Elephas maximus indicus: one gene and its partners. The protein of the gene in region 3 binds, or shares a complex with, the protein of the main gene of each other region. Links are inferred from orthologs where the notes say so. Each region holds a gene or a part of one and is shown on either strand. Other genes may lie near its edges. The genes, in order: CMC1, TMEM186, cytochrome c oxidase assembly factor 1 homolog and SMIM20.

Region 1 (8,391 bases), on a different chromosome or scaffold from region 3:
CCCATCCGGGTCAAAGACGAATGAAGAACACCAAGGACACAAGGTGATTAGGAGCCCAAGAGACAGAAAGGGCCACGTGAACCAGCGACTACATCATCCTGAGTCCAGAAGAACTAGATGACGCCCAGCTACAACCGATGACTACCCTGACAGGGAACACAACAGAGAACCCCTGAGGAAGCAGGAGAGCAGTGGGATGCAGACCAGACTTAATGGCCTGACTGAGACTGGAAGGACCCCGGTGGTCATGGCCCCCAGACCTTCTGTTGCCCCAGGACAGGAACCATTCCCAAAGCCAACTCTTCAGACATGGATTGGACTGGACAATGGGTTGGAGAGGGATGCTGGTGAGGAGTGAGCTTCTTGGATCAGGTGGACACTTGAGACTATGTTGGCATCTCCTGCCAGGAGGGGAGATGAGGGTGGAGGGGGTTAGAAGCTGGCGGAATGGACAGGAAAAGAGAGAGTGGAGGGAGAGAGCAGGCTGTCTCATTAGGTGGAGAGTAATTGGGAGTGTGTAGCAAGGTGTTTATGGGTTTTGGTGTGAGAGACTGACTTGATTTGTAAACTTGCACTTAAAGCACAATAAAAATTATTTAAAAAAAAATAGAGGCTATTGTAATCATTTAAGTGAAAGTGGATAGACCTTGGACTACAAGTTGTTACACTGTAGTTGGCAGGTGAAATAAAGATATGTTACGAAAGTAGGTCTGAGTGGATATTGTAATTAATGGCATGTGGGGAATGAGGGACAGACAGGAGGATAGGTGGACTGATCCAGATTGAAGCAGGCCCTATTCAAATATCAGAAAAACAGGACAAAACATATTGCTCTGGGGAGAGGATAATGCTAGGTCAGTTGCCAGGACTAGCCAAGTGAGTTGGGATTCAGAGAAGGGTTCCAGTCCTAGTAAAGGTTTTGAGTGCTACCCTGGATCAAAGTCCGTTTACATGGAGAAGACACAGGCCATGAGGGCTGTGAGCTATGTTATGCAGCTCAGAAAGCAGGCAGGGCCTCCAGGAGCCCTAGAGTCTTCTAGCCAAAAACTCATTCCAAACTCCATCCACTGGTAGGAATGGGTCTTCTACTATTCGTCCAGAATTGATTCTCATTGGCTCAAGGACAGAGCAGAGCAGAACTACAGGTGGAAAGTCTTTAATTCTGATGCTAGGCAAAGTTGGAAGCAAGCAGGGACTCAATTTCAAAAAACAATTACCTGGATATTAGCATCTAGTAAAAAAGAATGCTAGATCTAGTCAAAATTGAAGTGATAAACAAGATATTCGTTTCTACTTACATATTCCCAGGATATTGTTGTTGTTGTTTTAAGTGCTGTTGAGTTGGTTCCAACTCGGAGAGACCCTATGTACAACAGAATGAGATACCATCTGGTCGTGTGCCATCCTCACAATCATTGCTATGTTTGAGCCCATTGTTGCAGCCACTGTGCCAATCCATCTCATTGAGGGTCTTCCTCTCTTCGCTGACCCTCTGCTTTACCAAGTGTGATGTCCTTCTCCAGGGACTGGTACCTACTAGTTACATGTCCAAAGTACATGAGACAAAGTCTCTCCATCCTCGCTTCTACGGAGCATTCTGGCTGTACTTCTTTCAAGATAGATTTGTTCATTCTTCTGGCAGTCCACGGTATATTCAATATTCTTGGCCAACATCGTAAATCAAATGCATAATTCAAATGCATGTTTCCTCAGTCTTCCTTATTTACTGTCCAGCTTTCACATACGTATACAATATTAAAGAATATGTGATATTAAGAAATATACATATGTATGAGTGTATATACATGTATATATACACATATACGTACAATCATAGATATATGTTTAAATGTCCAGTCTACTAAATACCTCACTTCTCTTTGCCTTCACAGACTCTTGTGATTCAAACAGTGTCATCGTTCCCTGTGTTTACTGCACCAGCCTCCTAACTTGTTTCTCTGTCCCAGTATTTGCCCCCATCAATAAGGATCAAGGGCACGTCATCTGAGTTGAGGTCTAAATGGGCCCATTGTTAGGATTTTCTTATTTGTCTGTGAGCATTTACCAAGGAAAGGAAACCCCTGGGGAATCCTTCTTGGCTGCTTGTCTTATTCTCCTCAGTCCAATTATAAAGTATGGATTCTTCCTTCACAATTACTCTTACACCCATCTTTTCTTTTTACATTTCTATACTTCCTAGTTCAGCTCCTTATCAGATTCTGCCTGAATTACTGCAATAACTTTCTCACTCCTCTGCTTACCTCTTGGCTCTCTACTGGTCAGCTAAATGCCATTTTTTTTTTTTTTTTTACTTTTTAACCTTCAGCAGCTTTTGAGTGCTTGTAGCAACATATTCAAACACTCTCAACCTAATGTTTAAGGCTTTGGGAATCTGGCCTCTTCTAACATTTTCAGTCCCACTATTTTTATCCCAGCTTCCTGAATCCTCAAACTCGTTGAAGTCGCCTTAAGACATTTCTTCTGTTTTCTACCGCCAATCTATTATCTGTGATTTAACTTTCTTTTTAAGGTGTCCTGGTGGTACAGTGGTTAAGCGCTCAGCTGTTAAGGTCAGCCAAGCCACCAGCATCTCCACAGATGTGGCAGTTTGCTCCCCGAAAGATTACAGCCTTAGAAACCCTATGGGGTCGTTCTCTGTTCTATAGTCACTATGAGTCCGAATCAACTACAATGAATTTGGTTTATTTTGTTTTGTTTAACTTTCTTTTTATGATTTATCTTCCCCAGTTATATTACAAGACAGTTTCCTGCAAACTATCTAGTTTTATACGAGAATGGAGAATGATATACTAGTTTTTTTTTTTTTTTTTTAACCAGGCATTGAGGAGACCTGGTGGCATAGTGGTTAAGAGCACGGCTGCTAAGCAAAAGGTCAGCAGTTCAAATCCATCAGCTGCTCCTTGGAAACCCTATGAGGCAGTTCTACTCTGCCTTATAGGGTCACTATGAGTGAGAATCAACTTGACAGCAACAGGTACCAGGCATTGAATTAGGTCCCCGGATGGCACAAACGGTTTATGATTGTCTATCAAGCAAAATTGGTTCCAACCCACCCAGTGGCGCTACAGAAGAAAGGCCCGGTGGCCTGCTTCCCTAAAGACTGCAGCCAAGAAAATCCTATGAAGCTCAGTTCTACCCTGTAACACATGGGGTTGCCAGGAGTTGGAATCGACTTGAAGGCAATGGGTCTGGTTTACCAGTCATCGAGGTGTTACTTTCGCTGGTGTCTCCTTTAGTGTGATATGCCCAGTAGTCCATTTTGTGGGGTATAGAAACCCATGATTTTATAGATATTCTTGCTTAAGATAAAGCTAAAGTGAGTTGATTTAAATTTAAAAAAATTAGTTGATAATGGTTATGGCAAAAATTGCTTTAGTGGTCCTCAAACAACTGAAATAGAGATGTGTATCACATTTATTCCTCACAACAACCTTGTAAGTTAGTAACTAAAGTCCAGAAAAACCTTGGAACTCATTCATATCATAAAGCTAACAGGCTGTTATGCAGGATTCACCTTCAGGTACTCAGATCTCAACTGAAGCTCTCCACAACTTCTCCCTTTACCATGATGCCCTTCTGGATAAACAAAGATTTGGTTTAAATTCTTGAGTGCGGGAACCTGACTTGTGTTTTTATAAAACTCATTACCTCAAAAAGATTTTCTTTCTGAATTAAATCCTTTACCTCCAGAAAAAAAACAAAAAGGGCTCCAGAGTGAATTTGGGGTATTCCTTATAAAAATATACAAGGAAAAGGACCCGCTTTCCTGCCTGAGTGCAACATTAATTCCTTACCTTGGCACCTCAAACTGCAGCCGTAATAAGGGCCGTTATGCCCAAATAGGCCCTTAAACGGAAGACCTGCTGAGCAGAGACACACTTTCCCAGCCCTGCTCAACTGTGGCAGCTTTTGCTGCCAACTGACCAGGCGGAAGCAGCAGCAGGGGAGGAGGCACCGCAGGTAGGCGTGGAGGGGATCATTCTGAAAGCTTTAAATCCCTTGCAGGGAAGAAGCAGCTGCTCCTTGTTTTTCCAAACATCTGTCCCATCTGTCCCTGACTGCACTTCACCCTTTGGAGGCCCCAGCTAGTTAAACATGGGCTTGACAAGGTAGACCTTCTGAAGGCTGGTTGGTGAATGAGAATGGGTATCGTGTCACCCAGAACGTTTCTGCCACGAAGAGGGCAGTGGGGAAGGATTTAAGGAGGATGTAGTGACCACTCAGAATGGGATGTACGCCCTGAGTATATTATTTCACCAAATAGAGGTACCCCTAGCATCCTCATTTTTCTTTTAACCTGCAGGGAGGCCCAGGCTGTTGCTTAGGGGGTAAATTACGAAACTGCATACAGGTCTATGGTAGAAGGTGCTGTGCACATCTCGCGCGTGTGGCTCGGGCCTGATCCCCTGCCAACACTGTGCTCCCCGAGAATAGGGACAAACCTTTTCAGTCAATTATTTTCCCCCAGCACGCAGGACCGAGCCTGGCCCCTGGCAGGCGTGAAATAAGACATTTATGAATGAGTGAACGTTAACAAGGAATAATCAATGAAAGGAATCGGGCGATTCTCCGAAAGCGGGCATGGGAGGTCTCGGACTCTGACCTAATCGCCGAAGGCAGCGCAGTCCCCAAGGCCCGCAGCTCCGGCTCCGGCCACCGCAGACCAGGGTCAGCCACCACGTGCTCGCGCTCCGCCCGAACCCGGGCTGCGCGCGCTGAGACGGCCCCGCCCCCAGGGCGCGCGCAGCCACGCCCCCTTCCCAGGGTCCTTCCCTACAGAAGTCGGCTCCACCGCGGAGGGCGCCAGGGCGAGGGGCGGGGCCAGCAGCGCGCAGGCGCAGTGGCGGCGGAAGTAGGAACTAGAGGAGGAAAAGGGCTTGGCCCGGCTTCGCGGAGGGCGCTGTGCTCCTCCTCCTCTTCCTCGTCACGCGGGAAGCTCCCCGCGGCCGCACGTGCAGTGGAGCCGAAGCTCCGCCCCCCCGCCCCCTGCCCCTGAGCCGCCGCCGGGCTGCCTCCTTGTCTGCCCGCCGAGATGGCGCTCGACCCCGCAGGTACGGGGACAGGGAGCGGGCGTCACCGAGGGGCCTCGGGCCGGGTCTCAGCCGCGGGCGTGCGGACTCGGGCGGGCCTGGGGAGGGGGCCGAGCCGCGGGTTTGCGCTCCGTCCGCAGACGCCACCCCCCGCCCTGCGGATGACTGAGGTTCTCTGGGCGCCCCCGGCTTCCGGGGGCGACAGGTCCGCTTCCCGCGCCCGGGGGCTCGGGTTCGGTGCAGGGCGCAGGGTTCGTGGTCTGAACACACGTCCGCTGGTGACTTGCAAACATTTTCCTCCCTAAGTCGGCATCGTCTTGGCTCTCGGGGGCACAGACTTTGGAACACTTAACGTCCGGTGCAGAAAAATTTCGCCAGTCCTTGGGGAAGCACGGTTTTATGTTGGCTTTCAGGACTTCACAGATTCCCAGTTCACGCTTGGTGCCAACTTAACAGTTCCGAGGGTCTAGTCGCTGCGGCAAGAGGTCGTTTCTTTAGAAAGGTTCCCTGAAGTCTTGACGGATGTTTCTTGATTTTCATGCTGCATTTGCAGAAGTCGTTTCAGTTCCCCCCCTTACAGAACCTCACCAGCAATATCTGCTCTAGGCTGTTTATGTGAGGGTATAGGTCTAGAGGAGAGCTTGGGTGGTGCAAAGGTTAACACTCAGCTGCTAACCTTAGGGTTGGAGGTTCGAGCCCCACCAGAGACGAAAGGCCTGGCGATCTGCTTCCAAAAAAATCAACCGTTGAAAATCCTGTGCAGCACGATTCTACTCTGACACCCACGGGATGGCCGTGAGTTGGAATCAGTTCTTGGCAACTGATTTAGTTTCTTGGGTAGGGATGTAGAGCTTCATTTTTGGACGCAGTGGTAATTCATCTAGCCCATTCGCTTCATTTGATGGATACCAAAACTCAAGACACTGGGAGGTGAAATGACTTCAAACCTTTAGAAGTTCAGAAATGAAAAAGACACTTTTATGCCCTGAAAGAGAATGTAAATTTGTATAATGCACAAATAATACATTTATCGAGCACTTTAATATCAAGCCCTTTTCTAAGTATTCTAAATTATCCAACAATAGTACATAGTGTATGGGGCAGTTCTACTCTGTTCTGTAGGGTCTCTATGAGTCAGAATCGACTCCATGGCAACTTTTTTTTTTTTTTAGGGTATGCAAATACAATTATCTCCATTTTACAAATTAGGAAGGAAACTCAGGCTCAGAGCGGTTAAGTTACTAGTCCACGTAGGCAGTGGTCAAATCAGGGAATACTCTAGTATGAAGCATAAAGAAGTTAGAAGGAACACATAGCTATGGTACTGATTTTGGGCCAGGTGATTTCATCAGGCTTAATGAAGCAGTTAGCAGTTGATCTGGGGCCTCAAAGAATTTCTCATGGTTAGAGTTGGAGAAGAGGCAGCCTAATGAGCAAAAGCATAGGCATTAAAGTGCACTGGTGGTGCAGTGGTTAAGAACTCAGGCTGCTGACCAAAAGGTCAGCAGTTTGAATTTACCAGGCGCTCCTTGGAATCCCTGTGGAGCAGTTCTTCTCTGACCTATAGGGTCACGTGGAGTCCGTGCCAATGGGTTTTTACATATGGATGAAACAGATTCAGAGAGGTTAAAGGCTTGATGCTCTTGAATTTAGAAAGTTAAGAAAATGGAAAAAAAAATCTTATGTTTGTTGTCTCTACTTTCTTACCTTCCAGCCACACCCGTCTTGTGTGTCCAAGACCTTGTAGCTAATTTCCGTTAGCGCCAACTCTGTATAGAACCCAGGTAATTGCGATCCTAGTCTGGCACTGTAGACAGTGCCTCTGTTCAAGTATTCATTGATTTAACAAATACTTGTTGACTGCCTGGTATATGCCAAATATTGTTACGTTGCTGTGTGCCATCAAATTGATTCCGATTCATAGCGACCGTATAGGACAGGTTAGAACTGCCCCATCAGGTTTCTAAGGAGCGACTAGTGGATTCAAACCGCCAACCTTTTGGTTAGCAGCCTAAGCTCTAACTGCTTTGTTATAGGAAACAATGGCGTATAGGACAGACAAGATCTATAAGGTGGGAGGTTCAAGTCCACCCACTGTTTGCTAGGGCCTGTAACAATACCTGGCATATACTGGGTATTCACCATAAAGCTTGTATTCTAGTGTAAAAGAAAGAAAACAAATAACTCCTCTCCCCCTTTACAGATTGTGGTAAACATGAAGAAATAAGCAGGGTTCTAGTGAAGAGACGGCTGCTTTTAATAGAGTGGTCAGTGAAAAGCACTATGAAGAAGTGTCATTTGAATTAGAATCTGGAGGATGAGAGGAAGCAGCTATGTGAAGAGCCAGGGAAAGAGTATGCTGGGCAGTGGAAATAGCAAATGCTTCAAATACTGGGCTAGCATGTATGGCCAGAGTACAGAGGAGCTCCAGAAGGAAGGATGTTGGGAAAATAGGCTAGACCTCCATGCCGCAGGGCCTTGTGGGCAATGATAAAACATTTGGATGTTTTCTGATGTTATCAGAAGCCTTTGGGGACTTTTAAAAAGAGCTGTGACGCCATTTATGTCTTTAAAATATTACTCTGACTGCAGTGGTACAGTGGGTTGTAGGCAGGTTTTGAGTAGAACCAAGGAGACAGGTTAAGAGACCGTAGCGGTAGGCCAGGTCTGTGGGGATGGAGAGAGATGTAAGGATTCAGTATACATTTTGGAGGAGAAATTGATAGGACCTGCTGCTGCACTGAATAAGGTGGTGAGGGAGAAGGAGAAATTACGGATAATTTCTAGGCTTTATACTTCAGCAACTGGTTGGATGGCAGTGGTCAGATCCAACAACATGAAGGTCATTGAAGACTGACAAAAACAGGGATAGAAACGAAACTGGAGTGGATTAAGAAGGGACAGTAGGAAAGTGGAGATGGCAAGTGTGAAGATGTTTTTCCAAATTTCCTTGTCTAAATTCAAGAACAGAAATGTATTGGAGTGATTTTTTTTTTAATAGATTTTTGTTCATAAATTGGAACGTAGGTTCACATTTTGCTGTTTTACTGCTTTTTACAATCCACAGTAGTATATGTCCACATTGAGTAGATAAGTGTCTGGATACAAAAACAAAACCCACTACCGTCACGTTGGTTCTGAACCATACTGAGCGACTCTATAGGACGAAGTAGAACTGTCCTGTAGGATTTCCAAGTAGCAGCTGGTAGATTCGAACTGCTGATCTTTTGGTCAGCACCTGAGCCCTTAACCACTGCTCCACCAGGCTCCACAGTCTGGATAGTTATGCCAAATGAAGCTTTTAAGAGCAAAACCTGTTTTTCCATTGATTTATATTGCA
Region 2 (7,757 bases), on a different chromosome or scaffold from region 3:
TTTGAATCAGACAATCATATGGTCTACTATGCCGAGACTACCAACTTGGAGAGGAATGGTGTTGCATTCATCGTCAAAAAGAACATTTCAAGATCTATCCTGAAGTATAGCGCTGTAAGTGATAGGATAACATCCATACGCCTACAAGGAAGACCAGTTAATAGGGCTATTATTCAAATTTACACTCCAACCCCTAAGGCCAAAGAAGATTTTTATCAACTTCTGCAGTCTGAAATTGATAGAACATGCAATCAGGATGCACTGATAATTACTGGTGATTGGAATGCAAAAGTTGGAAACAAAGAAGGGTCGGTACGGCCTTGGTGATAGAAAGGATGCTGGAGATAGCATGATAGAATTTTGCAAGACCAACAACTTCTTCATTGCAAATACTTTTTTTCACCAACATAAACAGTGACTATATAACACGGACGTCGCCAGATGGAATACACAGGAATCAAATCAACTACATCTGTGGAAAAAGACAATGGAAAAGCTCAATATCATCAGTCAGAGCAAGGCCAGGAATCAACTGCGGATCAGACCATCAATTGCTCATATGCAAGTTCAAGCTGAAACTAAAGAAAATTAGACCAAGTCCACGAGAGCCAAAGTACGACCTTGAGTATATCCCCCCTGCATTTAGAGACCATCTCAAGAACAGTTTTGATGCATTGAACACTAATGACTGAAGACCAGATGAGTTGTGGAATGACATCAAGGATATCATACGTGAAGAAAGCAAGATATCACTAAACAGACAGGAAAGAAAGAAAAGACCAAAATGGATGTCAAAAGGAAAAAATGATGAAGTAAAAGAGCTGAGCAGATTTCAAAGGGTGGCTTGAAAAGACAAAGTATTATGATGACATGTGCAGAGACCTGGACATAGAAAACCAAAAGGGAAGAACATGCTCAGCATTTCCCAAGCTGAAAGAACTGAAGAAAAAATTCAAGCCTTGAGTAACAATACTGAAAGATTCTACAGGGAAAATATTAAACGACGCAGGAAGCATTCAAAGAAGATGGAAGGAATACACAGAGTCACTATACCAAAAAGAATTGGTCGACGTTCAACCATTTCAGGAGGTAACATATGATCAGGAACTAATGGTACTGAAGGAAGAATTCCAAGCTCCACTGAAGGCACTGGCAAAAAACAAGGCTCTGAGAATTGACAGAATACCAACTGAGATGTTTCAAGAGATGGATGCAGCGCTGGAAGCACGTACTTATCTATGCCAAGAAATTTGGAAGACCTACCTGGGCAACTGACTGGAAGAGATCCATATATATGTCTATTCCCAAGAAAGGCGACCCAACTGAAATGTAGAAATTACCAAAAAACATCATTATCACATGCAAGCAAAATTTTGCTAAAGATCATTCAAAAGCGGCTGCAGCAGTATATCGACAAGCACTGTCAGAAACTCAAGTCGTCTTTAGAAGAGGATGTGGAACCAGGGATATCACTGCTGATGCCAGATGGATCCTGGCTGAAAGCAGAGAATACCAAAAAGATGTCTACCTGTGTTTTATTGATTATGCTAAGACACTCGACTGTGTGGATCATAATAAATTATGGATAACATTGCAAAGTATGGGAATTCCGGAACACTTAATTGTGCTCATGAGGAATCTGTACATGGAGCAAGAGACAGTTGTTCAAACAGAACAAGGGGATATTGCATGGTTTAAAATCCAGAAAGGTGTGCATCAGGGTTGTATTCTTTCATCAGGCCCATTCAATCTGTATGTTGAGCAAATAATTTGAGAAGCTGGGCTATATGAAGAAGAACGGGGCATCAGGATTGGAGGAAGACTCATTAACAACCTGCGTTATGCAGATGACACAACCTTGCTTGCTGAAAGTGAAGAGGACGTGAAGCACTTATTGATGAAGATCAAAGACCACAGCCTTCAGTACAGATTACACCTCAACATAAAGAAAACAAAAACCCTCACAACTGGACCAATAAACAACATCGTGATAAATGGAGAAAAAATTGAGGTTGTCAAGCATTTCATTTTACTTGGATCGACAATCAACACCCATGGAAGCAGAAGTCCAGAAATCAAGACACATTAAGACCTCTTTAAAGTGTTGAAAAGCAAAGATGTCACCTTGAAGAACAAGGCGTGCCTGACCCAAGCCATGGTGTTTTCAATCGCATCATACGCATGCGAAAGCTGTACAATGAATAAGGAAGACTGAAGGAGATTTGACGTCTTTGAATTATGGTGTTGGGGAAGAATGTTGAACATACTATGGATGGCCAAAAGAACAAACAAATCTGTCTTGGAAGAAGTACAACAAGAATGCTCAGTAGAAGCAAGGATGACAAGACTTTGTCTCACATACTTTGGACATGTTATCAGGAGGGATCAGTCCCTGGAGAAGGACATCACACTTGGTAAAGTAGAGGGTCAGCAAAAAAGAGGAAGACCCTCAAAGAGATTGACAGTGGCTGCAACAGTTGGCTCAAGCATAGCAACAACTGTGAGGATGGTGCAGGACTGAGCGGTGTTTCGTTCTGTTGTGTACAGGGTCGCTATGAGTCAGAACCGACTCGAGTGCACCTAACAACAAGTGACGTGTGCAAAGCCCTGGAGTCCATTCTAATTAGTTTTTATGTTTTTAGCTCGGTCCTTGTTTCAGCAGTGCAAGTCTTCTGCTTCTGGATTTTACTGCACTTATCAGTTTGCAAATGCATGTAATGATGAAGAGAAAGACTGTATGATGAATAGCTCTTTTGCGAAAAAAATTTTACCTAGAGCACCCAACACAGAAACAATTCTCTTTTAAATTACAGAGTTTATTTATTTGAGTGTAAAAATAATTTACGGTTACTGCAAACAATATCATGTTTCAAATGTCTTAAGAGAATACGTTGTAGGCTACCTAACCTGGTTTCTTTGCTATTTCGTACTTTATACTTAAAAAAACCCATTGCTGTCAATTCAATCCTGAGATTCCTATTCAGTGACCCTCTAGGACAGAGCTGAATTGCCCCATTGAGTTTCCAGGGAGCGGCTGGTGGATTTGAATTGTCGATGTTTTGTTTAGCAGCCTAGCAGCCATAGCACTTAACTACTATGCTTAGTTATTCTAATTCTTTTTGGAAATCCAAAGCACTTTCCTGAACAGCACATTCAGAAACTGAAACACCTTCCACTTTAGCACAGTGGTAGGAAATGGCAAAAGTGGCAAATAACAATACCCCGAGACCCAGGGACTGACCAGGTCTACTGTGAAACCGAGAAGGTCATTGCTTCACTGGGTCTCAGTTTCCTTAAACGTAATATGGGAATAACAACTACCCTTCCTGAGGTGGAAGAGGGAGGAAGGAAGGGTTGAAAGGGTCCAATGATAAAGTCTAAGTCTTGGAAATGTAAACCCTAGACCCAGGGATAGACAAACTATAGTCCACCAACCAATCGGAACTGCTGTTTGTTTTTATGAAGTTTTATTAGAACATGGCCATGCCCATTCATTTACATATGGTCTGTGGCTGCTTTTGCAGAGCTGAGTAGTAGTTACTACAGATCATATGGTCCACAAAAACAAAAATTTACTATCTTGCCCTTTACAAAAACAGGAATTCCCCAATTCCAGACAATTACGTACTCTTAATAGCCCATAAACGGATGATCACTGGACCTCAGAGCCAAAAAGGGCCCTTGGAAACTTGCACTCCCAGATTTTGCTGTTACAGGCAAGAATAGGTTTCAGTTAAGAAAGATCAACATCCTCACAGGCACCATATGTAAGAGGTAATGTCCCCATTTAAAGGGGCAGATGCTGAGGCTCAGAGAGGTTAAGTGACTTGCTCAAGGCCACACAGCTGCCAAAAAGTGAAGCTGAGGCTCAGGTAGGTCTGTTTAACCCAGAAACCTGTATTCTTAAGATCAGCCTACATGGCACAGCTTATGGGTGGCAGGAGGAGGGTGGTGCACAGTTGGTCAGGGGCCTGAAGACCAAAACCAAACCTAAGCCGTTGCTGTCGAGTAGATTTCGACTCATAGCGGCCCTGCAGGACAGAGGAGAACTGCTCCACAGGGTTTCCAGGCCATCGGTACCCAGGGTTGGCAATGAAAGTCCAGAACTGGACTTCCCAACCCAGTGCAAGTTCTCTACCCTCAAGGGTTTTTCGGTCCCATCTCATCTCTTCGAGCACCCTGACGTCTTAAAGAGCTGGGTGACTTCCTTCGCATCCCTCCAGGCACACAGAATAGAGTTCAGCACCCCAGGAAGAGTGGGCAGTCATTAACCGACCGTCGGTGGTCCTTAGCCGCCCCCTGGCGCCTACCCGAGGCGATCTTTAGCCCAATCGGGACCCATCAGGGGGCCCCGCACCGGCTGCCGCCAGTTCGCTGGGTACCGCCTACCTGCCGCGGGGCCGTCAGCGTCCCGTCCACATCGAAGAGGCACAGTGCTGGGCCGGTAGCCGCCATATCTCCAGTCCCGCACGCACCAAACATGACCCGTTGGCACCCGGAAATCGACCGGAACTTCCGGGTTCGGCACCCGCGCCGCAGGGCACGCCGGGACGAGGAGACTAGGCTCTCACAATGCCTGCAACTCGCCTCAGCCACTAGCGCTGAACCACAAGTCCCAGAACACAACACACTCCTGAGTTTCCCGTAGTATGAGCATGCGCTCCTAGAGGTTCCGGGGGCAGGCGGTATTCACTTCCGGCAGCGACTAGCGGGGCTATGGTAAGAAGGAGTGTGGTGGGGGTTGAGGAAGGTGACGTGCTTTCGGGGTCGGGGTCAGGGCTTAGGGCAGGCATGCAGGGCGCCTGGGTGTCTCAGTCTGAGAGTCCGCGGAAGGAAGTTCCGGCATGGGGAACGGTTTTCTGTTCCCTGTGTCCTGAAGTCACATGGACCACTGAAAACGGGATAGCTAAAATTCACTGAGCGTTCACCGTGCATCGGTGTGTTGAGGGCTTTAAAACCATAGTCTCATTCAGTAGGCCCAGAATCCCCATTTTGAAAGATGAGGAAACTGAGGCTCAGAGAAGTTGAGTAACTTGCCCAAGGATACACAGCTAGTGACCATTGGGGCCAGGATTGGAACCCGGATCTGGCTCCAAAGCTCTTTCCACTGCACAAGGTTGTAGAACTGTGCACCTAATAAAATCTTTGCGCCTTGTGTTGGGGCCTCCCTTCCCCTCCTCTGCTGTTTCCCCTTCCCTGAACTAGGCTAAGAGAAAACAGCAGTTCCCTCCAGTACCCAAGCTAACTCAAACCTAACCTATTTATAGTGATAGCTGTCTCATGGATTTATTTTCTAGTTCGCCACTAGGACATCGATTGCTTAGTTTTCCTGCTTGGGGAAATGTTCGCGAAGACTTGTGGATCCAATGCCCAGCCCGGAGTTGGCCCACCCTGGGTATTTGTTGAATGAATGAAGGCTGGTCCGTTTTTTCTGTACCTACTTGGAACAGTTTAAGGGTCAGACACTGCCCCATTCACACTTGCCGTGTGTCCTTGGGCAAATTTCTTACCCTCTCTGGCCTTAGTTTCCTCAGTGATAAAGTGGAAGTAATGGCAACTATCTCATAGTTGTCATGAAGGTCTGGCTTTACCTTTCCCTCCATCTCTGGTGATACCAGAGACCTCCCAGAATTGTTGGGAGCCTCCGTGGGACCTGCTTTGCAAATGTTTATTGTTTGATTAGCATGGTTTAGTTCCATGAGAGAAACGGTTTCTTGTCTCCCTTCCAGGCTGCCCTGCTCAGAGCAGTGACCCAGTGGCAGAGGGTAGCTGCCTGGGGGAGGCCGCTCCATGGGCTGTGCTGCAGTGCGCGGGATCCCAGGAGGTGGGTGGGAAGCAGACCACCCACCTTGAAGGAGACACCATCAGACACAGAGACGGAGAAATTCCAGATGGTCTACCGGTTTGGTGCCATCAGAGTCTTCGGATTCCTGTCTCGGCTGAAGGTGGCACAGACGGCCCTGACGGTGGTGGCCCTGCCGCCAGGCTTCTATTTGTACACCCAGGGCCTGATGAGTCTTGGCTCCCTGTGCCTCATGGGTGGGATAGCTGGCTTTGCCCTGGCCATGCTGTACTGGATGAGCCATTTCTTCCGGAGGCTGGTGGGCATCTTGTACGTGAATGAGTCAGGCACGGTGCTGCGGGTGGCCCACCTGACCTTCTGGGGCTCGCGGCAGGATACCTGCTGCCCCGTGGCTGATGTGATCCCCCTCATGGAAACTAGGGACCGGCCCCAGGAGGTGTTCGTCCGTATCCAGCAGTACAGTGGGAAGCAGACTTTCTACCTTAGTCTGCGCTATGGATGCATCCTGGACAGAGAACGATTCACACAGGTGTTTGGGAGAGTGGACATGCCCAGATAAACTCCTGGAAGCTGGGCTTCCAGGTATCCCTGGGCCACCTGGATCTCTAACAGGAAGGCTGACAAAGAGGAACAGGCAGCTGGAGACTTTGCCAGGGCTCCTAGGAACTTTATGGTGACCCCATGTGTGCAGAGTAGAACTGTGCTCCATAGGATTTTCAAGGCTGTGACCTTTCAGAAGCAGATCAGCTGGCCTTGCAGTCACCATGAGTCAAAATCGACTGGATGGCAAATAACAACAGCAATCCAGGAACTTGTCTTATGGGATGAAGAAATTCATGTGGCAAAAGCTAGTAACCAGGTTTAATAAAAAGGCCCTACGTGCAAGTTCTCACTGCACTTGTGGATAATGTTCAAATAATGGCCAGAAACTTCTCGTAAGAGCCAGTTCTTGGAGGAAGCTGTCTCACGTTCACCCAAGCAGTGCACTGCTGTGGAATCAGAAGGCAGAGTGGTGTGGCTGGGGAGCACCGGATTTGGAGTCAGAAGACTTAGGTCATCTGAACCTTGGTTTTCACTCTGTAAAATGGGGAGTCCCGCCTGTCTCATGAGCTGGGCGGGAGAATAAACAAGTGTCAAAGTGCTTTCCGGACTCAACAGCCCTGAGCAAATGTTGAGCATTATGTCAGAGGTTAGGGCTCTGTGAAAGGCTTCCAGGTGATCGGACAGACTTCCTGAGCCCTGTGCTGTGTCCACTCTGTGTGTCCAGCAGCAGAAGGGACTGGCAGGAAGCCTAGGACGGGGCCACATCTTTCTGCCAGGCTGGTAAACTGCACACTGAATGGCAGGGGTGACATCCAAGCAAACGCAGCAGCCCCTTGGGATTTTGTTCACCACCCAGAGGTATGAGGTTCCCACATTCTGAAGGTTTCATAGTGTAATAAAGACTGATGAACTAGATGCTGATACGCTGGTGCATTATTGATAAACAAAAGCCAATTATAAACCAGTAACCAGTTTCCAACGCTGACTCATGGTGACCCAATGTGTCAGAATAGAACTGTGCTTCACAGGGTTTTCAATGGCTGGTTTTTTAGAAGTAGATCGCCAGGCCTTTCTTCCAAGGCACTTCTGGGTGGACATGAACCTCCAACCTTTCAGTTAGCAGCCAGCCAAGTGCGTTAATCATTCGTGTCACCCAAGGACTCCGTTAGACAAACATGGAATTACAAATGTGGACAAGTAGAGTGAAAGAAGAGCAGGATGGTCTGAGGGAGATGAGCAGCAGGGGCATGATGGGAAAAGGGCACAAGAGGCCCTGGGGAAGGGACATTTCAGCGGAGACCTGAGTGTTGTAGGAGGCAGACACAGTTTGTTTCAGGCTGAAGGAAAAGGGAGTGTGAGGTTCTAAGCTGGGGAAGAGGAGGAGGCCCCTCTGGTGAGAGTGGAGGGAGGG
Region 3 (7,476 bases):
GTAAGTGCGCCTTTAATGATAGTCCATTCATTTTATTTTATCTTATTGCTCTGTGTAAATATACCACCATGTATTTATTTATTCTCCTGTCAATGAGCATTTGAATTGTTTCCAATTTTTTTTTCTATTTTGAACAGTGCTGCTGTGAACAGTCTTTTGTACATTTCCTGATGCACCTGTACAAAAGTTCCTCTAGGGTATATATTTAGAGTGGAATTAATTGGGTTGTAGGATATTGCAAGATATTCCAAATTGTGATTCAGGTTTGTTATACCAATTTACATTCCCATTGGCAGTATATGAGTGTTTCCAAATGATCTGTATCCTTGCCAACATTTGACATTGTTGTATTTGTTTATTTTTGACCAATCTGTTGGACATACAATGTTATTCTGTGGTCTTGATTTACACTTCCCTGATTAATAGTGATATTGAGCACTTTCGCATATGTTTACTGCCATTTGTCTTCTGTGAAATGTCTGTTTAATGGTTCTTATATGTTTGTTGGGTTGCTTGTTCTGATTGGTTTGTAGGATTAACTTAGACATTCTGGATACTATTGCTTGGTTATGAATATAAGAGTTATTCTCTCCCAGCTTAGGTTTTACTTTCTCTATACTGTCTTTTGATAAACAGAAGTTCTTTAATTTTTTTTTAAATAATATTTTATGTGTTTTCACTAAAGGTTTACACCCATTCAACAATTTCTTCACAAATTGTTCAGTGACATTGGTTACATTCTTCACAGTGTGTCAGCATTCTCAATATTTTTTGTTATGGTGGCTCTGTTTCCATTAATCTAATTTCCTTGTCCCCTTACATTCTCATCTTTGTTTTAAAGTAATTATTGACCATATGGTCTCATAGAGATCATTTTTTAAAGGAGCACAGTACTCATGGGTGATATTCTTTATTTTTGAGCTAATCTATTACTTAGCCAAAAGGTGACCTCAGGAGCTAGTTTTGGCTCTAGGTTTAAAGAGTATCTCAGGGCAGTAGTCTAGGTGAGTCTTCCAGTCTCATCTGGTCCAGTAAATCTTTTTTTTTTTTTTAGGAATTTGAGTTTCTGTTCCACATATTTCTCCCATTCTACCAGGGTTCATCTATTGTGGCCCTGATCAGAACAGCTGGTAGTGATAGCCAGGCACCCTCTAGTTCTTCTGGTCTCAGGGTAGATGAGGCCATGGTTCATGTAGACTATTAGTCTTGTAGTTTCTCCTTTGAGTCTTTGGCTTCCTTCTTTCTCCTTTGCTCTGAATGAGTATAGACCAATGTATGTATCTTAGATGGTCGCTTGCATGGTTTTAAGATCCCAGACACTATTCACCAAACAAGGATGTAGAGCATAAGCTTTATGAACTGTTGTTGTTAGGTGCATTTGAGTCCGTTCCAACTCATAGTGACCCTACGTACAACACGATGAAACAATGCCCAGTCCTGTACCATCCTCATAATTGTTCCTATGTTTAAGCCCATCGTTGTAGCCACTGTGTCAGTCCATCTCGTTGAGGGTCTTGCTCTTTTTCGCTGACCCTCTACTTTACCAAGCATGATGTCTTCTCCAGGGACTGGTCCCTCCTGAAAACTCATCTAAAGTACGTGAGACAAAGCCTCACCAACCTCGCGTCAAAGGAACATTTTGGCTGTAACTTCTTCCGAGACAGATTTGTTTGTTCTTCTGGTAGTCCATGGTATATTCAATATTCTTCACCAACACCATAATTCAAATGCATCAATTCTTCTTTGATCTTCCTTATTCATTGTCCAGCTTTCATATTCATATGAGGTGATTGAAAATACCATGGCTTGATTCAGGCTCACCTTAGTCCTCAAAGTGACATCTTTGTTTTTTAACACTTTAAAGAGGTCTTTTGCAGCAACTATGTTCTGAACTATATTATGCCAATTGACTGAGATGTCCCACAAGACAATGGTTCTAATCCTTTAAACCCAGGAAATCAATCCCGCAAGGTGTTTGGTTATGTCTAAGAAGTACCCGTAAGTGTGCTCCCTATTTGCTTAGAAGTTCTTTAATTTTAATGTAGTTAAATTCATCAGCATTCTTCTTCTTGATTAGTTATTTTTATGTGTTCTTTAAAAAATACACACATTTGAATTATGTTGTTGGCAAAGAATAATAAATATACTATGGACTGCCAGAAGAACAAACAAATCTGTCTTGAAAGAAGTACAGCCAGAATGCGCCTTAGAAGTGAGGGTAGCGAAATTTTGTCTCACATACTTTGGACATGTTATTAGGAGGGACCAGTCCCTGGAGAAGGACATCATATTTGGTAAAGTAGAGGGTCAGCAAAAAAAAAAAGGAAGACCCTCGACGAGATGAATTGACACAGTGCCTATAACAACGGGCTCCAACATAACAATGATTGTGAAGATGGCGCAGGACTGGGCAGTGTTTTTTTCTGTTGTACATAGGATTGCTATGAGTCGGAACTGACTCAATGGTACCTAACAACAACAACAACATCTAAGAGAATGAATAAAATCAAATGTAGTATATACATAGAGTGTAGTACCATGTGTAGCATGTATTAGTACTTCATTCTTTTTTATGGCTGAATATTATTTTATTGTATGTATATACCACATTTTGTTTATTCTTTCATCTGTTGCTGGATATTTGGGCTGTTTATTCTGTTTGGCTGTTGTGAATAGTCCTATTGTGAACATTCTTATACAAGATTTTATTTGAATATCTGTTTTCATTTCTTTTGGGTATGCACCTAGGAGTGAAATTCCTGGGTCATATGATAACTCTGTGTTTAACATTTTGAGGTACTACCAAACTGTTTTCCACAGCAGCTGTGCCATTTTTCATTTCTACTAGTGTTATACAAAATCTGCTGCTGTAGAGTCGATTCTGACTCATAGCGATCCTGTAGGGCAGGGTAGAACTGCCCCATAGGGTTTCCAGGGTTGTAAATCTTTTTTTTTTTTTTTTAAATAATTTTTATTGTGCTTTAAGTGAAAGTTTACAAATCAAGTCAGTCTCTCACACAAAAACCCACATACACCTTGCTACACACTCCCAATTACTCTCCCCCAATGAGACAGCCTGCTCTCTCCCTCTACTCTCTCTTTTCGTGTCCTTTTCGCCAGCTTCTAACCCCCTCTACCCTCTCATCTCCCCTCCAGGCAGGAGATGCCAACATAGTCTCAAGTGTCCACCTGATCCAAGAAGCTCACTCCTCACCAGCATCCCTCTCCAACCCATTGTCCAGTCCAATCCATGTCTGAAGAGTTGGCTTCGGGAATGGTTCCTGTCCTGGGGCAACAGAAGGTCTGGGGGCCATGACCACCGGGGTCCTTCTAGTCTCAGTCAGACCACTAAATCTGGTCTTACGAGAATTTGGGGTCTGCATCCCACTACTCTCCTGCTCCCTCAGGGGTTCTCTGTTGTGTTCCCTGTCAGGGCAGTCATTGGTTGTAGCTGGGGACCATGTAGTTCTTCTGGTCTCAGGATGATGTAGTCGCTGGTTCATGTGGCCCTTTCTGTCTGTTGGGCTCATAATCACCTTATGTCCTTGGTGTTCTTCATTCTCCTTTGATCCAGGTGGGTTGAGACCAATTGATGCATCTTAGATGGCTGCTTGCTAGCATTTAAGACCCGAAACGCCACTCTTGAAAGTGGGATGCAGAATGTTTTGTTAGTAGATTTTATTACGCCAATTGACTTAGATGTCCCCTGAAACCATGGTCCCCAGACCCCTGCCCCTGCTACGCTGGCCTTCGAAGCATTCAGTTTATTCAGGAAACTTCTTTGCTTTTGGTTTAGTCCAATTGTGCTGACCTCCCCAGGGTTGTAAATCTTTAGGAAAGCAGGCTACTGGGTCTTTCTCCTGCGGAGTGGCTGGTGGGTTCAAACCACTGCCCTTTTGGTATAGTAGCCAAGTGCTTAACCACTACATGCCACCAGGGCTCCTTCCACTAGTATATAAAGGTTCTTAGTTCTCCACATCTTTGCTGACACTTGTCATCTGTCTTTTTGATTATAGCCATCCTAGTGGGCGTGAAGTGGTATCTCATTGTGGTTTTTAGATTTACATTTTTCCTGATGTTGAGCGTCTTTTCATGTGTTTTTGAACCGTTTGTATAGCTTATTTGGAGAAATGTCTATTCAAATCTTTTGCCCATTTTAAATTGGGTTATTTTTTTCTTTTTATTATTGAGTTGTAAGTGTTCTTTATATATTCTGGATACACATCCCTTGTCAGATATACGATTTACAAATATTTTCTCCCATTCTGTGAGTTGTTTTTACTTTCTTCATGGTGCCTTTTGCAGCACAAGTATTTTTAATTCTGAATCCAACTTATCTACTTTTTCTTTTCTGACTTATGTTTTTGATATTGTATTTAAGAAACCATTGCCTAATGCAAGGCCATCGAGATTTACTCATATGTTAGAAAGGGACCTAACTTTTTCTTTTGGTATGTGGATATCCAGTTGTCCCCCACCATTTGTTGAAAAGACTATTCTTTTTATTGTATTGGTACTCTTCTCAAAAAAATCAACTGACCATAAATTTAGGGTTTATTTCTGGACTCTCGGTAGTTATTTTTAAATGGCAATTTCACTGTGGTGTTAATAGCTCATTGAAGAAATAATTATTAAGAATATCCTGTACACCGGGTGTTCTTCTAGGTTGTGGAGTTATAGCTGCGAACAAGGCAAAATCTTTGACTCCTTGCAATGTACATTTTCGTGGAGAATGAAAAGTGCTGTGAAGAATATAAAACACGTTGGGAGATTAAAGGATAGGTGTGTATATGTGTGAGGTTTACATTGCTTTTTTCACGTAGCCCTCTGTCTGTCTTTTAGGGCATTTAGCCCTTCCTGGGGTGGCTCAAACTGTTAGCATGTGTGTGACTACTAACCTAAAGGTTGGTGGTTCATACCCCCCCCCAGTGGTACCATGGAAGAAAGAACTGGTGATCTTCCATAAAGGTTCAAACCCACCAAGAAAATCCCGTGGACCAGTGCTAATCTGTACATACATAGGGTCTCTGTGAGTTGGAGTTGACTCAGCGTCCACAGGTTTGATCATACATTCATAATACATAAAATACAACTTTTTACATTCGTCTCATCTTCCCAACTAGCCTAAATACTTCTCTGTCACTCCATCATGTCTAGATATAATAGGTGCTCTGTGGGTATTTGGTGAATGAACAGATTAATAAGTTTAGGTAAATGTTTTATACACACACTTTCATATATAAACATACTTTTAAAATATACATGTTATTCAGAACTGTGAGGATAGTTTGGAAATAGGGAGTAGAATCCATTGTTTTGCTCTAGATTAGACCTTCTTTTTAGCTAGAATCCCAGACTGTCTGTCTCTGCTTCAGCCCAGACGTCTTCTTACCTCAGCTAGGATTCTGAACTCCTTTGCGTCCCCAGCTCAAGCAGTTTTCAGCCCTTGCTCTGTCCAGAGTGGGTGCTTCAGCACCTCTCTCCCTTCTTCTATTTCAATCAAGCAGTGAACCAGCATTTCAAGTTCTGAACGAAGACCAAAGTTGTGGGCAAGTCCCAGGTAAGAAGAGATTAATTGATGTGAAACTGACTTATATAACTACTTAATAATTTTCATGTGCTCAATTTGATATGTTGTAAATACGAAGATCTGACCTGATAACTCTATGTTTAACATTTTGAGGAACTCCCAAACTATTTTCCACAGCAGCTGTACCATTTTGTGGAGTTTTCCATGCAACTGCATCAATTTTCTTTGTAGCACCTTTCTTCCCCCTCTTCCTGGTTCATAGTGACAAAGTTTACTGCAGTTTCTCCCTAGTTTGTTTGTTCCTGATCCTGGTTATTGGCACTGTCACCCATCTCATCCTTTAAGGTGGTGCTGTGTAAGGCGCATTCGGTATGTTTAATAAGTATTTGTTAACGGAATGATTGAACGAATCAGGGTACTAATGAAGGCAGAACGCCTCAGAAATACTGAGCTTGAGGCCAGAGGCCTTGCCCGTTGTTATGCTTCTTCTCACAACCAACTCTGCTCCTGAAGTTGTTTGAAAGCACACATGTCTGAATAGGGCTGAGATTTTGCATCTTTTTTTTTTTTTTTTTTCCTGAAAGTAGAAGAGAGTGATTCATGTGAATGTTTATTTACTTAAGGGATAATTTCCTATTTAAACCGTAGCAAAAGGAGCCATTGTGGCGGTGTTTTTTTTTTTTTTTTTTAAATCATTGAGTGTAAATGATTTCCTCCAAACTGCAGAATCCTTAATTATTGATTTTCTTCCATTTCCGTTCACTCTACTGTCTTTTACGGTCTTTTAGCTTGGGGTCTGAAGCAGAAGGCTTTGTGATCTGAAGTCAGTCAGACATCCAGCGTAGACCGAGAGCTCGGATCTGTGGGGGACAATGTCTCGGCTCCCCCCTTCCGTTGACGCCGTAGTTCACAGTAGTCACATGATGAGTGGTTGTTGTTGTGTTAGTTGCCGTGGAGCTGATGCCGACTTGTGGAGTAGACTGCTTCGTAGGATTTTCAAGGATGTGTCCTTTCAAAAGCAGTTTGCCAGGCCTGTCTTCCCATGCCCCTCTCGATGGGCTCCATAGAAGGGGTTCACTCACGACAGTAACGTGTAAAACTCCCAGTGCAGGGCCAGTGTGCGGGGGGTACTCAGTGAAAATTGATTCCTTTTTCCTTTCCTTGTTTTTGGATTATAGAGTAATTTAGTGTCAGAGTGGAATAAAGCTTACAGCCAGCCTCAGAAGAATATTGTGAAGTGAGTAGTTCCCATATATGACTACACATATTCCCGATAAATTTGCAAGAAAAGAAAAAGCCATGTGAGAACTTTTGAATTTGGAAGTACTTAAAAGTTAAGTGGAAATAAAGATTGAGGACAAGAAGGGAATACTAGCAGACTGATAAATGTCTGTTGATTTAAACTGACAGGAGGCCTGTTCTGCTTTATGCCATATTCCTCTCTGCTGTCTGGAGAGCTGCTCCCAGGTGATGGCCAGCCCTGGAAGCTGGGCTGTTGAAGCTGTTCATAAATGTACAGCAATATTCACTGTCAAGTCAGTGATTTGACTAGAGGTGGAACAGGGAGGAGAGGTTTAACAGCATCAGAAGTCATTAAAGTCAAATGTCATATACACTTTAGAAAAGTTTTAAAAATTGGTTAATGTTTTTGCCCTTATTTCAAGTCATCAGTTTGTTTGATTTTGGCGTTTTTTGAAAGAGATAGAGTAATAGTACAGAAGAAAAGAAGTGCCCTCTAATTTTAACCATCTGTGTATTTGTTCAAGATTATACACTGAAAAAAGCTAAAGTGTAATTAAGACCAGGAGTATACAGTAAGTAGAAGAAAAGGGCTGTGCTTCTGTTGACACTGAAACGTCGGATTGTGCAAAGTAGCAAGCTGATTCCACAGTGATGAAAATGCAAATGCAATAACCTGTCAAGATCATCTGGAGAAAAAATTGTGC
Region 4 (8,212 bases), on a different chromosome or scaffold from region 3:
TGACTCTTCAGCTGTGGGCTCTCGTGCAGGCGACCTAACGGTCCCACACCTCAGTTTGCCCACATATAAAATGGGGATGATGATCACATGGCAGCCACCTCAGAGGGTTTTTAGGAGAATTAAATGGGTTAACATACACGTGGAAACCCTGGTGGCACAGTGGTTAAGTGCTAAGGCTGCTAACCAAAAGTCAGCAGTTCTAACCCACCAGGTGCTCCTTGGAAACTCAATTGGGCAGTTCTACTCTGTCCTATAGGGTTGCTATGAGTCAGAATCGACTCGACAGCAACAGGTTTTTTTTTTTTTTTTTTAAACATAAATGAGCCGTCCCTGGGTACTGCAAATGGTTAACGTGCTTGCTGCTGACCAAAAGGTTGGTGGTTCAGGCCCACCCAGAGGCACCTCAGAACAAAGTCCTGGTGATCTGCTTCCCCGAAACCAGCCACTGAAAGCCCTGTGGAGCACGTCCTGGCACCCATGGGGTCGCCACGATTCAAAGCCGACCTGATGGCAGCTGGTTTGGTGCTTAGAAAAGGACCAGATGTGCAGTAAACTTCCAGTAAACAAAAAAAACTTCCAGTAGGTCAGTATTATCCACACGTTGGAAGATGCAGTTAGTTCCAAGGTTTGGCCAAAGTAATTAAAACTGAACCAGAAAAGTGGGCCGGTGTAGGCTCCTGTCCAGTTCAAAATGCAGGTATTCTGGCCACGCTCACTAAATGTTTCCCTAAAGGACCTGATTTGTCTCTCTCAACTGACCAAGTCTGACAACCAGAGATTCTGGAGTAGCCCTGTTAGACTGCTGCTGGGAGTCACAGCTCAAACCCACGCCTTGGTCATCAGATCTGGGCAGGATTTCTCAATCTCAGCACCACTGACATTTTGCGCCCGGTAACTCTTTGTTTTCAGTGGCTGTGCACTATAGAAAGTTTAGCCGCATCCCTGGCGTCCACCCCATAGATGCAGCCGTCATTCACAACCTTCCCCCAGTCGTGACAACCAGAAGTGTATCCAGATAGACCCAGATGTCCCGAGGGGCAAAATCACCCCCAGTTGAGAACCTCTGACTTAGTCTTCATAACTGAAACTTTCCTAAGGGGATCCACAGCAGGTCCCCGTGGTCCCAAATTCAACTCTAAAGATCATAATAAAACAGCCTGGGGCAGAGACCAAGTGAGGAAGGGCAATAGAAATAGCTTACTCAAGGCTTCAGACAGTCCCTTCCTGACCAACACCCCCCCCCCCCAGCCCCCCGCCCCATGCAAGAAGCACGCTGATAGGCTGGAAGACAGAATGCACGGGTGTCAGTTCAGTCTCGGCTGATGAAAAAGCTGCAAGAAAATCTGAGGTGTACTTAAAACGCTATGTCTCCAGAAACCAAATGTAGCATTTGTAATGGGCAGAACATTTACACGGGGCTTTAGCCTTCAAATCGCCCAGCTTTCAGCCTCTGCTAAGATTCTCAAGGGGCATGGCTGGCACTCTTCCATCTTCAAGATGATTCAGGTTTCCTGAAGAACAAAATGAGCCTCTAATGCCTAATATTTTCTCTCTGACAGATGGTTTCAGATGTATCAAAGCGCTAATCCTTGCTGAGGTGTAAGTCTCCGGGAAGGAGAGTTTGGCTTTTCGAATGATAGGACTTGAATGATTAAGGAGGAAAATTACTCCCAGGATATTCACCATTGTCATGTGAGCAATCAGCTTAAAACTAAGGAAGCCTGCAGAATCTGAAAAAAAGATCTGAAACAAAAGGAGAGGAAAAACTCAAAACCCTGGTTAACAGTTTAGGTTTGAACATTTCCACTCAAAGACATCTGCAGGAATGTAAATGAAGTGTAATAAAAACACCTTTAGGTACAGAATATATGGGGTTCTATCTGCCCCCCCCAATCATCGTTCCCAGCTTCAGGATGTGGAAGATGGGGGACTCTGGAGACAAAGGCCTGGTTTGTGACCTTGCCATTTACTAGCTGTTACCTTGGGCACGTCATACAACCTCTCTGAGCCTCAATACTCCATCTGTAAAACGGAGTAGTACCTATCTCCTATTAATGTTGTGGAAATTAAACAATCAAATGTATGCCTAACCTGACACATGACAGGCTGCCAGTGAATGCTAATTAAAACACAGTCCCTGGTGGTGCAGTGGTTAAGTGTGCGGCTGCTAAGAGAAAGGTCAGTGATTGGAACCCGTCGGCCGCTCTCTAGGGCCAAGGATGTGGCAGTCCACTTCCGTAAAAATTTACAGCCTTGGAAACCCCGTGGGGCCCTTCTATTCTGTCCTATAGGGTCGCTATGAGTCGGAAATGATTTGAGGGCATCGGGTTTGCTCCTTTGGTTTTTGAATGCTGAATGGTGTTGCCATTGAGTAAATTAGGAGTCATGGCGACCTCCTGAGTAAAAAGTAGAAGGGCTCCATGGGGTTTTCAAGGTCGTAACCTTCAGAAGTAGATCGCCAGCCTGTATCCCAGAAGTTGTTGCGTGGGTATGAACCGCCAACCTACCAGTTAGTAGCCAAGCACTTAACTGTTCGCACCACTCAGGAAACCTTAAATGAGTATTAAGCAGCATTTGCTGTAGACCTACTATGTGCAGGCTGCCTTCACATACACTAACCACCTTGGAGCTCACTAAAGCCTCCAGAGGCAGTTATTTATACTATCATCCCTGTTTTATAAATGAGAACGTTGAGGGTCCAAGAGATTAAGCACTTGTCCACGGTCACAAAGCTGCACAGCGCTCGAACCCGGGTCCGCCCGACTCCCGAGCCGAGTTCTTTCCACCGCACCACGTGGAGCTGAGAAAGGTGGGGGTGTTACTGGGGCCAGGCCACCGCGCGGGGTCAGAGGTCACTCACGGTACTCCTCCAGCCGCATTAGGGGCCGGAAGTAGATGGGGTAGAAGGCAGCGCCGAGCAGGGAAACGAAACCGCCGAAAATGAGCACAGTGCGCAGAATCCGGGACATGGTGCTGGGTTGGGGGCTGCCCTGGCCCGCTGAGCAACCGGCACTCGCGGAATCCCCGCTTTAGCGCCCGGGTCGTGACCCCGCTCGGAAGCGGAGAACTGGCTTTCGTTTCCGGGCCTTGGGGGCGGGGCTAGAAAGCGGGGCGGGTGCCGGCAGGGTCTAGGAGGAGGTGAGGCAGGGGCGGGACCTGGGGCAAGGGTGGGGCTAGAGGCGGGGCATGGGCCGGGCCTTGGACCTACGCCCCGCCTCCCCCTCGCTCGGTCTGTGCGCTGCGCAGGCGAGCGCAGGTGACGGGTTAGGAGTGGAGGTGCTGCTGTGCTGGGTTCCCGCGGGCCCTGTTCTGCTGTCTTCCTTGCCCTGGTCCTGGCTCCCCTCTCAGCCGCGCCACCCACTATCCTCCGGACCTCCATTACCCACCACGCTTCCTGGTTCTTCACCCCACTGATTAGTTTTTAGTGGCTTTGCACCAGGAGCAGAATGCTCTTTATGGGTGACTTGTTCAATCCTCCTATCTGTAGTCCCATTTTATGGTGAGGAAACCACGGCTCGGCTGCGCTGTTTCTGCAGAGTCACGTAGCCTCCTTAAAGGCTTGTGGGGACTACGGCGTCCCAGTGGTTAAGAGCTTGGCTGCTAACCAAAAGGCTGGCAGTTCGAATCCACCAGCGAGTCCTCGGACACTCTATAGGGCAGTTCTGCTCTGTCCTATAGGGTCGCTATATGTCGGAATCAACTGCACGGCCACGCTTTTTTTTGGGGGGGGGGGTGCTGCAAAGGGTTAACGGCTGGGTTGCTAATGGAAAGGTTGCAAGTTCCAGTCCACCCAGAGGCACCTGGGAAGAAGGCCTGGCAATCTACTTCGAAAAAAATCAGCATTGAAAACCCTACGGAGTACAGTTCTACTCAGACACAGGCAGTTGCCATGAGGCGGAGTCCACTTGACAGCAACTAGTTATAGAGACAAGGGCAAACTGCCTGGCCCAGGCTGGCCCCCAGGGGGGATTCTGAAACCTGAGACCAGGGGTGATTATCTAATAGGCCAGGTAAGCCCAACGCTTACCTTGCTTACCTGATCATCTGTAGTAAACAATTCACATACTTCCACCAGATCAAAGACCTTGCTTCTAGGTATAGCGGGCATCTGTCTCTCTCCCAGGCCCACAGCACCTTCCTATAGAATCAAAGCCTCTACTCTATCCCCTATAAATAAGGATGATACCAGGTGCTAGGGCTGGGGGGCAACAGCATGTTTATCTTGACCCAGCAGCATTATTTAGTCCAAAAAAGATCTAAGATCTTCCAGAAATGTGAAGAGTACAGGTTTCCTCTTTTTTTTTTAATTGTAGTTCTGTGGTTGAATCAAGTTACTATCTACCTCCTAGGTTCTGGAAGCATACAAATCAGTTGTTCTTTTTGCCAGCAGATGTGTGGACTCTCTACCACGCCCCCAGACACCAGGCAAAGTGCTACGGGGGACACAGGAATAAGATGTGACCCCTGCTCTCCAGGATCTTGCGGCGTAGATAAAGGGACCGGCCACATACACAAAAAGATAACTGATGAGCCCTGTTGCAGCCTATTGCAGAAGAGTGATACAGAACTGCGGGCTGCTGAAGTTCAGAGGAGGAGACAGATGATGGGGGTGAGGCGGCTGCTCCTCAGGCACCTAGAAAAGACTGTAAGGGTGAGGACAGAAGAGTTCATGGAAAACAGGGAGCCTGTGATACATGCTGTGTATTAGATGATATAAAATACCCAGGCATGGTGGTGCACGTGTGTCATTTTAACAACCCAGCATCCACTTCCCTTTTTTCTGTTAATAAAAACCAAACCACTTGCCATGGATTCTGACTCATGGAGACCCCATGTGTTACCTAGTAGAAATGCTTTCCATAGAAATTTCATGGCTGTGACCTTTCAGAAGCAGATTGTAGGCCTTTCTTCTGAGGCACCTCTGGGTGGGTTCAAACTGCCAACCTTTTGGTTACTTGTCAAATGCTTAACCATTTGCGCTGCCCGGAGGCTCTTTTTTCTGTTAACAAACCAAACCAAACCCACTGCTGTTAAGTCAGTTCCAACTCATAGTGACCCTATAAGGCAGAGTAGAACCGCACCCTAGGGTTTCCAAGGCTGTAATCTTTACGGGATCAGACTGCTACGTCTTTCTCCTGTGGAGTGGCTGGTGGGTTTGAACCATTGACTTTTTAGTTAGCAGTCCAGTTATTAACCACTGTACCACCAGGGCTCCTTTTTCTGTTTATGGTATCCTAATATCTTTGGGGAAAGCACTCCTCTCCCAGTGTCAGTCCCTGGAGTGAGCTGGGGCCCTTCCCTGTCTAGCCCCCTACCTTTCATCCTTACTGCCTCCGAGCTCCGGGAGTAAGCGTGTAATCAAGCCTAGCCAAGCTCCCGAGCCATAGGCACCCTCCTGGCCACATGACCAACCATGAAAGCTGGCTAAAACTTGAGAGGATGAGACGTAGAGGACACCATTTAGAGACTGAGAATGAAGTCAGTACAGCAGAAGGAAAGTTTAGAGACAAACTAGTGTCCCCCCTTATCCACAGGGATATGTTCCAAGACCCCCACGGATGCCTGAAGCCAAGGATAGTACCAAACACTATGTATACTATGTTTTGTCCTATACATACATACATACCTATGATAAAGCTTAAGTTATAAATTAGGCATAGTAAGAGATTAATAACAATACCTAATAATAAAATAGGACAATTATAACAGTGTACTGTAATAAAAGTTATATGAATGCAGTCACACTACTCATTTAACATTTTCATACCACAGGTAACTGAAACCATGGAAAGCGAAACCACGGATTGAGCCCCTGAAGCCAGCCATACCTGAAGTAGTCCTACTCCTGGACTTCTCGGTAACATAAGCCAGTAAAATTTCCTCTTCACATGAGTAAGAATGTTGGACTCTGTCTTTTATAAGAGCCTTGGTAGTGCAGTAGTTAAGCTTTCAGCTGCTAACCAAAAGGTCGGCGGTTGGAACCCACCAGCCGCTCCACGGGAGTAAGATGCAGCAGTCTGCTTACATGAAGAGTACAGCCTCGGAAACCCTATGGGGCAGTTGCTGTCTGTCCTGTAGGGTCGCTATGAGTAGGAATTGACTTGACGGCACTGGGTTTGGGTCTTTTACAACAGAGAGATGTGATCTTATTCACTAACATCCCCATAAGCTGCAAGTCAAGGCTTACCCTGTTTTATTGTCCAGGTCACTGTGAGCCAGAGATCTGAACTCCCTCTCAGGGTACACAGCACTGACTAAGCTAGGACCAGGGCTGAGACTCATGATGACTCATCTGAAGTGCTCCTCCATGACTCCTTGCTTTCTTGATGAACAAGCTTGGTAGGATGGCCCTGTTTATGGTGCCTCTGTGGGCCAGTACTGCGAGTGCCAGGATAACGGGGTGTCCTGGTCAGGTACCAGAGTCCCTGTGTGGTGCAAACAGTTAATGCGCTCAACTCTTACCCAAAATGTTGGAAGTTTGAGCCCACCCAGCAACACCTTGAAAGAAAGGCCTGGCAATCCACTTTAGATAAATCAGCTATTGAAAACCCTGTGGAGCACCATTCTACTCTGACACACATTGGATCACCACAAGCCAGAGTTGACTCGATGGCAGCTGGTACTGACTGATGAGATACAAAGAGTACCTCCAAGGCACAGCCCAGGACCCGTACGGCAGATGAGCCACCCCCTCTTCAAAGTGGTGTGACAAGTGATGGTTTCTGTGACCCCTTAATGCTAATCGAAAGGCTTTAGCCTGACCAGCAAAAACGATTAGCCCATCTATGCCATTTGTACAGATTATCATTATCACACCAAAAAACAGCTACCTGCCACTGCCTGTCACCAAGTTCTACCAAATTTTTAAGTCCATCTTTTGGATCATTGTGTTTTCTGCCCATTTCTGAGAAAACCACACTCACTCAAGTTTTATTTCTCTACTAATCTGTGAATTGAATCAACAAAAATGTATTGTGTGCTTACTCCAGGCAAAGCACTGTAATAGCTGCTTGGGAACACAAAAAGGAATGGTTCAACATTTGTGTATTCGACAAACGTGTCCATTGTCCCAGGCGGAGCCAAGCAGACGCCGGGTGGATGCGGCAGTGAGTAGCATAGCACAGCCTGTTGTCCTCCTGGCGTAGGAATAAGATGTGGCAGTAGATTGTAATTTCCTTTTGATCACTCAGCCTCCCCTAATGTTAGCATCTGATTTCTTTTTGGAGGATGACCTCTCAGCTTGGCATTGTTGGTTGGACTGTAAATCAGGGGCCGTGCTGGGCTACTAACCAAAAGTTTGGAGTCCAAGTCTGTTTGGTTTGCGTGCCACAAGGGGTACCTAGGAAGTAAAGCCGAGCGATCTGCTTCTGAAAATCATAGCCTTCAAAACCCTATGGAGCAGTTCTCCTCTGCACACATGGGGTCGCCAGGAGTCAGAATCACTCGACTGCAACCTAACAGCAAACAACAACGCACTCGTCATCAATACCAATATCAAGACTTGTAGAACATTTGTTTGTGCCAGTCATTATCATTGGCTTACTCCTGCAGTACCGACCAATGTCTGTGTACAAATACTTAAGTTTCCTCATATTCAGATCAGGAAGCTGGCGCAAGCAAGAAAGACTTGCCAGTGGCCACATGGCTAGTAAGTGGCAGAGCCGGGGTTCGAGCTCAGGTTGCTTGGCTCCAGAGATCTGTTCTTAACCACCAATCTACACTGTCTTGCAAATTCAGCAAGCTTGTGTTGCCTGGAAAAGGTGGTGGCGTAGTGGTTAAGAGCTACAGCTGTTAACCAAAAGGTCAGCAGTTCTAATCCACCAGGCGCTTCTTAGAAACCCTATGAGACAGTTCTGCTCTGTCCTGTAGGGTCGCTATGAGTTGGAATCGGCTCGATGGCAATGAAAGTTTTTTTGTGTTGCCTAGGAGTGCACATGAACCAACCTGGTTAATTGATTTCTGTCTCCCAGAAATAAGGATGGTGAGGACTGGAACACAAGGACAGACAGCACTGTTGGAGTGGATTTTTTCCATTGCTAATGTCCTGATGATATTTTTGCATATCTCCCATTTGCCTGCAATCCTGTAGCTTCCCTGGTTTTTCGCCTTTGCAGCCTGAATGTTTAATTATTCATCGTTTTCTGCTGTTGTTGTTAGTTGCCATTGAGTAAACTGCAACTTGTGTATAAGGTCCTGTGTAAACATTGGACAA

Evidence for each region.
Region 1: cytochrome c oxidase assembly factor 1 homolog (region 3) and CMC1 share a complex: the UniProt entries of both Homo sapiens proteins name them as parts of the MITRAC (mitochondrial translation regulation assembly intermediate of cytochrome c oxidase complex) complex. The link is inferred for Elephas maximus indicus from reciprocal best matches to the Homo sapiens genes COA1 and CMC1.
Region 2: cytochrome c oxidase assembly factor 1 homolog (region 3) and TMEM186 share a complex: the UniProt entries of both Homo sapiens proteins name them as parts of the mitochondrial complex. The link is inferred for Elephas maximus indicus from reciprocal best matches to the Homo sapiens genes COA1 and TMEM186.
Region 4: cytochrome c oxidase assembly factor 1 homolog (region 3) and SMIM20 share a complex: the UniProt entries of both Homo sapiens proteins name them as parts of the MITRAC (mitochondrial translation regulation assembly intermediate of cytochrome c oxidase complex) complex. The link is inferred for Elephas maximus indicus from reciprocal best matches to the Homo sapiens genes COA1 and SMIM20.

Annotation. Positions count from the first base shown.
Region 1 is NC_064845.1:11,504,714-11,513,104, reverse strand, and holds the start of CMC1 (COX assembly mitochondrial protein homolog), read left to right. Parts: upstream 1-4,875; 5' UTR 4,876-5,053; coding exon 5,054-5,072; intron 5,073-5,732; exon of another isoform or gene 5,733-5,846; intron 5,847-8,391. UniProt on the Homo sapiens protein: Component of the MITRAC (mitochondrial translation regulation assembly intermediate of cytochrome c oxidase complex) complex, that regulates cytochrome c oxidase assembly.
Region 2 is NC_064830.1:66,919,530-66,927,286, reverse strand, and holds the start of TMEM186 (transmembrane protein 186), read left to right. Parts: upstream 1-4,695; 5' UTR 4,696-4,716; coding exon 4,717-4,719; intron 4,720-5,729; coding exon 5,730-6,362; 3' UTR 6,363-7,757. Other genes in the region: PMM2 (phosphomannomutase 2), read right to left, coding at 4,390-4,482. UniProt on the Homo sapiens protein: As part of the MCIA complex, required for efficient assembly of the mitochondrial complex I.
Region 3 is NC_064826.1:106,440,847-106,448,322, reverse strand, and holds the start of cytochrome c oxidase assembly factor 1 homolog, read left to right. Parts: upstream 1-4,334; 5' UTR 4,335-4,732; coding exon 4,733-4,782; intron 4,783-5,504; coding exon 5,505-5,560; intron 5,561-7,476. UniProt on the Homo sapiens protein: Component of the MITRAC (mitochondrial translation regulation assembly intermediate of cytochrome c oxidase complex) complex, that regulates cytochrome c oxidase assembly.
Region 4 is NC_064823.1:137,137,696-137,145,907, forward strand, and holds the start of SMIM20 (small integral membrane protein 20), read right to left. Parts: upstream 3,090-8,212; 5' UTR 2,970-3,089; coding exon 2,861-2,969; intron 1-2,860.